Linked DNA regions of Danio rerio. The protein of the gene in region 1 purifies or fractionates together with the protein of each later gene. This does not show direct contact. Links are inferred from orthologs where the notes say so. Each region holds a gene or a part of one and is shown in the gene's direction. Other genes may lie near its edges.

What was found.
Region 2: the proteins of kat8 (region 1) and phf20l1 purify together in Homo sapiens (affinity purification with mass spectrometry; 3 studies listed by BioGRID and IntAct, with this or other methods). This does not show direct contact. The link is inferred for Danio rerio from reciprocal best matches to the Homo sapiens genes KAT8 and PHF20L1.

Annotation. Positions count from the first base shown.
Region 1 is NC_133178.1:31,500,567-31,503,302, forward strand, and holds the end of kat8 (histone acetyltransferase KAT8), read left to right. Parts: intron 1-1,440; coding exon 1,441-1,595; intron 1,596-1,682; coding exon 1,683-1,747; 3' UTR 1,748-1,916; downstream 1,917-2,736.
Region 2 is NC_133191.1:34,798,694-34,802,529, reverse strand, and holds part of phf20l1 (PHD finger protein 20-like protein 1), read left to right. Parts: intron 1-174; coding exon 175-315; intron 316-439; coding exon 440-624; intron 625-1,005; coding exon 1,006-1,105; intron 1,106-1,262; coding exon 1,263-1,458; intron 1,459-1,965; coding exon 1,966-2,209; intron 2,210-2,302; coding exon 2,303-2,459; intron 2,460-2,890; coding exon of another isoform or gene 2,891-2,927; intron 2,928-3,464; coding exon of another isoform or gene 3,465-3,836.

The DNA of each region.
Region 1 (2,736 bases):
CAAGACAAAAAGGCGTTTACTCACACGCGCCCATCCCATCAGAATCGACAAGCTAGCACAGAAGCTCCATTGAATATACTGGGGTAAAATAAATGTTCATGTTTTAAAGACATGGTGGGGAAATATGTAATTTAATGCAGTGCTTCTTGTACAATCTGAGCCTCACTTTATATCAGATATCGATAATTTAAAAACAGAAACAGAGCTTAAACTGGACGATTTTGTAATGGCATACAGTTCACCGGAAGCGTTTAACCCAGGTTACTGACCAATTAAAAGTCCTTTAGCATACTTCCGCATATACACTATTAAGTTTGAGACCTATGAGGTATACCTAAACAATCAGGGCCTATAACGAATATTTTAGGAGTGAAATCAAACTGGACAATAAAGGGTCATGAATCTCTCAACTAATAATTTGACATCTATCAAGACATCTGTTAGCTTTAATTGTAGAAAAAAAACATGGTAATTTTGAGCTTTGTCTCTTTAATTTCATCTTTTAGTCTTAATATTTACATCAAGTCAGCATCACTGGTGGTGATGTAGCATAGGGCTATGAGTGCTTTGAAGTGTTGTCTAATTTTTATTCATGACAATTTAATTTAATTTTTTTATTTTTAATTTAATTTAATGTTTCCATCCAAAGATGCGAATTAACTTTATGTGCAAAACTGGAATATCACATTAAAGACGTGCGAATAAAGCAGCGTTTCCATCCAACAAATCAAAGAGAACAAAATCGTCGCTCCCTGATAAACCGGCACCAAGTATCAACAGTAAAGAGAAACTGCATGAATCTTTTCTTTATTTAACCCTTTAACTCAGGGGTCACCAAACTTGTTCCTGGAGGGCCGGTGTCCTACAGATTTTAGCTCCAACTGTTATCAAACACACCTGAGCAAGCTAATTAAGGTCTTACTAAGTATACTTGAAACATCCAGGCAGGTGTGTTGAAGCAAGTTGGAGCTAAACCCTGCAGGGACACCGGCCCTCCAGGACCGAGATTGGTGACCCCTGCTTTAACTACTTCACCAAGAAAAATAGCATTTCTTCTCCTAATGTCGCTAGTTAACTCACTCAGAAAAATCTAAAATATAAATCCATCAACTCAATCTTTTATGTGCATTTTTTAAATGTGCATCAAAACAATTGGATGTAAATGTAGTTATTGACAGACGCTACTTTCAAACGCTTTACTGTCTGAAGATCAAGTGCATTAAAAAAAAAAAGACGTACACTTTACCTGAAAGAGGGGGTTTCATGACTCTTTAATATATTTTCTACACTCCTTGTATTATATACATGCTTACACAGTTTTTACGTACATTTGGTGAGTGTTTATTTTAGACAATCATTATGCAATCGTTTAAAAAAAGTTGCTAATTTACTACCAAGGTTTTGTTAATGATTGCCAACTAATGCATAATGCGCCCACAGTCAGATGACGAGCATCACTCAGAGTGACATCATCAGCACACTACAGTCTCTGAACATGGTCAAGTACTGGAAAGGTCAGCATGTCATCTGTGTCACTCCCAAACTCGTAGAGGAACATCTGAAAAGTGCCCAGTATAAGAAACCTCCAATAACAGGTAACATCTGAAAAACAAATGCTGAACTGGGCAGCCTTCCTCTTTTTTCTCCAAAGTTTAATCGTTTAACTTTCTATGCTTCTACAGTGGACACACATTGTTTGAAATGGGCACCTCCAAAACACAAGCAGGCCAAGTTCTCCAAAAAATGAGGAGTATGAACGGTAAAGAGGAGAGTACGACTGCCACTTCACCCCTGATGTTTTTCACACCTAAATGTCATGTAGAAATACTTTCTCCAAGAGGAAAATGTCTACGATTGTACATTCGCATTGTATTGAGTCTGTTATTTTTTATAAATAAATGAATAGTAATATTCACATCATTGTTCATCATCTTTGTTTTATCATTGTGGTACTTTAGTTTATCTTTGTTTTGTAAAGGCCATTTCTTACTGCACAGACCAATGGCAACAAACAAGTCTGTCAGATTTTGCTGGATCAGACTGTAATGATTTTCATTTGGTCAGCTGTTGGTCAGTTTATTTTCACCAATGGTGGAATGTCTGAGCAGTGTGATTATGATTTTCCAACAAACTGACGTAAAACTTTACATAAAATTACTATTTAGCCATAGGAAGTATTCATTAATTACTGTGTTTATTGTGTGTGGCGATTGTGAACTGTTTTTTCAGCGACATTCTACATCCAATGGGCCACTTGTTTGTTGGTATTGGCATTTGTCTGAGCAGTTTAAATTGGCCTCAGGGTAGTTTAATATTTAGACCAAACCTTCCATCGTGTCCATGTGACAATGTTAAAAAGAAAAAGTTGCAAGTCAAGAAACATTTTGCTGAATTATTCATTAGGCAGTACAGGATTACCTATTGCACATGCAGCACCTGTCTGGCTTTTAGCTGAAAGCTGATCCCTATATACACTAGTGAGAATATATACATAAGATTAAGAGGGTCAAATGGAAAAAGAATGGCCCTTCAGCTTAAGCAACAATAACTTGGTAACTAATACTGTGGAACTGAGAAGAACTAAGAGGGGTTTTAAGTATTTTAGAGCAATAGTTTTAATGCAAATATGACATTTAAAACATAGGTGCTTTAATAAAACAATGGTGAAAATGTTTGCTAGAAGTAAAATATAATTTTGTTTACTTTGTAAAACCCAATCCATTTGTGTTGAATCAG
Region 2 (3,836 bases), on another chromosome or scaffold:
CGAAGATGAAAGTTGACAAAAGCTCAAAATTATCCAGTTTTCCCCACAATTAAAACTGACAGGTGCCAATGTTTCATAATTGATGCTCAACACGCACAAATCTGTTAAAGTTTCTTGATTCTTAAACCTTTTAGTGTTACAAATATTTCAGTTTGTTCTCACCTTTGTGCTAAGGTTACCCAGACCTGGATGAGATGTCGTTGGCTTACTTGGAGAGACCGTCTTCCCCACCGCATCGTTCTTCCTCTAGTGCCTTCAAGCACAGCACCTTCCAATACCCTCGTGCCATACTATCTGTCGACCTCACCGGGGAGAGTGAGTTTTGTCATGTGGAGTTATTTGTGGCTGTAAAATTTGACTTGCTTGTTATAATAGATAGTAGTCAACATGAATACGATATTGGTAATGTTGAGCCTCTTATTTTCTTTTCCTATCGCAGACCTTTCAGACATCGACTTCCTGGAAGACTCGACAACTGAGAGCTTACTGTTCAGTGGAGATGAGTATAACCAGGATCTAGACTCAATCACTATGGAGGACTTTCAGGATGAGGATGATGATGGTGCTGATGAAATTGTTCGCTGCATATGCGAGATGGATGAAGAAAATGGCTTCATGATTCAGGTAGGATCATGGCATCAAATCTTAAAGGGATAGTTCACCCAAAAATTGAAATTTCTTTAGCTTTTACCCAAATTTAAGTGCTTCTAAACTTGATAGATTTCTTTTTTCTGTTTAATATTACAATTATTATTGTTGTACAAGATATTCGAAAGAATGCTTTAAGTTGCATTTAGTTGACATCCATAATAGAAAGAAAATAATACTGTAGAAGTTAATGGCTTTTTTACAACAGTTTCAGTATGTCTTCCGTTGTATTCAACAGAATGAAGAAGTGAGGGATTAGCATGATGACAATTAAAAATAATGGGTTAACTGTCACTTTAAATGTGTTGAAATAGTGCCTGAAAATGTGTATTTGTCTTTTTGCGTATCACTTTACAGTGTGAAGAATGTATGTGCTGGCAGCACAGTGTATGTATGGGGCTTTTGGAGGACAGCATCCCTGAACAGTACATCTGTTACATCTGTAGAGACCCTCCAGGTAACAATCATGCAACAGTTGAAAATTGTCAGCAGGATCTTTAACTGTATCCTGCTATTACAAATGTCTGTTTTTATTCCTTAAATGAATAAAATGAATTCTAAATATTAAACTGAAATGTCTCCAGATTTGTTACTAAAATATGCTCTTTTCTCAGGTCAGAGGTGGAGCGCAAAGTACCGCCATGATAAAGACTGGCTTCAAAAAGGCCACATGTACGGCCTGTCTTTCCTCACCGAGAACTACTCGCATCAGAATGCCAAGAAAATCGTGTCCACTCACCAGCTGCTGGCTGATGTTTACAGTGTTAAAAACCTGCTCCATGGCCTTCAGCTAAAGATGGATATTTTACAGTAAGAGCAATTACCAGAAGCCTGCTTAATCCTTTAAATTAGATGTTAACTAATTAACTGTCACTAGATATTTTATGCATAGAGATTGTTGCGCACAGTTCTTGTTGTCATAAAAAGCTCTTGTTGTCATAAAAATAAGTCTGTGACATTTTAATTGGAAAATTGATCAGTTGTTATATCTTGCTTTTCTGGATGTGTTAATTTTAACTTTTTGGTTGGAAGCACACACACCGTTTTCGTGGACTAGACACAGCACTACAGTTAAGGTGTTTGAGTTTAAAAGCAGTGCTCATAGATACATACGATATTGGTGATGTTACGATATCAGTGATACAGAGAACAACTTCCATCAGAATGGTTTTCTTTCTTTTTTTCTTAAACATCACCATTATGCACTAAAGGAAACAGCAAACAAGCGTAATAGGCCCCATATAAACTGGTCTTTGAATATTTTTTCTGTTATAGAAGAAAAACAGGAACTATAATATGCTTTTCACATTTTCTAAGGAACAAGCATAACCCAAGTTTACACTTGTGGGCTCGGTCTTGGGTAAACTCTGATGAGGACCAGCCTATGGGTGGAGTTCCAGACGGTCTACATTTCAAAGAGCACCTTAATCAGAATTCAAACCCTGAAACCTACATTACTAGTGAGCACAGCTACCAAAAACCACCTGGGACTGGTGCCGAGCACACAAGAGATGAGCAGGGGATGCAAATGGGCTCTCAGTTTAACATAAAGGAAGAAGAGGTATCCAAAGGACAGTTAAAACTCATATCTGTTCAGTGTCAGTATGTGGAAGAGAATGTTTAAAGATAATTGCTGTGTGTTATGTTTGTGTAGGTCAGCAGTGCCATTGCTCTGTCTGGATGTGTTAATGACAGCAGTGTGGAGCAGACCAGGAACTGCCTGCAGTGGCAGATGAACCTGCTCACACACATAGAGGACATTCAGAACCAGTTGTCGGGCCGCATGGACCTCATTGAGAAAGAGCTTGATGGTAAGCAGCCAAAACATGGAATGTGGCGCTAAATTACACATTTAAAATAACACCATTACCCCCTAATCTACAAAAGCATTTTGAGTGCTGGTCTGGAGTGGTTCTTAAATAGTAGCATCTTAAATAGCCACACTGCTGGGTGTGAAGAAAGAAAGGCTTGCGTTAGGTGCTGAGGGCAGGGCTACTGTGACAAACAAGATAAATAAAAACTCTTTTGAGCTGCATTTTTGAAATAGCAATGAACACAATGGTGAACCAGTTATTACAACTTGAAATCTCAGCAGCATCTTGCAAACCACGGCATACTGCTCACACATTGGATTCAATGTTTTTGGATGCCTATGTAGCTAAGCCAATAACATTATACTGAGAGCAAAGCAACATTGATTGTATTTGTGTTTGTTTGTATTTGCATTGCTGGGAAAGATGGGATGTATTCAGAGAGCAGGGTTCCCACTCTCCTTGAAAGTACTTCAGTTTCAGACATTTGGATTTAAGGCCTTGAAAGTACTTAAAAACAAACTTGGGTAGTTTAAAATGCTTGAATTAAACTTAAAATAAAAATAGTTTGTGTTAGTTCAACAATTTTACTATGCTTCTCTAAAAAAAAATATTGATGCTGGGTGTCACAGTGGCACAATGGGTAGCATGATCGCCTCATAGCAAGAAGGTTGCTGGTTCGAGCCTCGGCTGGGCCAGTGGGGATTTCTGTGTGGAGTTTGCATGTCCTCCTTGTGTTGGTGTGGGTTTAATGCAGGTGCTCCAGTTTACCCCACAGTCCAAATATGTGGTATTGGTGAATTAAACAAGCTAAATTGGCCGTAGTGTATTTGTATGAATGGCGACCCCTGATTAATAAAAGGACTAATCCGAAAAGAAAATAAATGAATGAACAAGAACTTTGAAATATAAAGCACATTTTATCAATATTTCAGATTAATAATATTACCAGTATTGCATTCAACAATTTATTAAATTCAGAGCTTAAAGAGTTCCGGCACTGAGCCTGCGCGTGCGGTTTAATTAGGGATGCTCAAAATAATCGATTAACAAAAGTATTGTCTTGTAGACCTCCGAGACAGGATTGTCTCGAGGCACAAGGCTGGGGAAATTACAAAAAAAATTCTGCTGCTCTGAAAGTTCCAATGAGCACAGTGGCCTCCATCATCCGCAAGTGAAAGATGTTTAGAACCACCAGGACTCTTCCAAGAGCTGCACGGCCATCTGAGCTGAGTGATCAGGGGAAAAGGGCCTTAGTCAGGGAGGTGATCAATAACCATATGGTCACTCTGTCTGAGCTCCAGCATTCTTCTGTGGCGAGAGGAAAACCTTACAAAAGGACAACCATCTCTGCAGCAATCCAGCAATCAGGCCTGT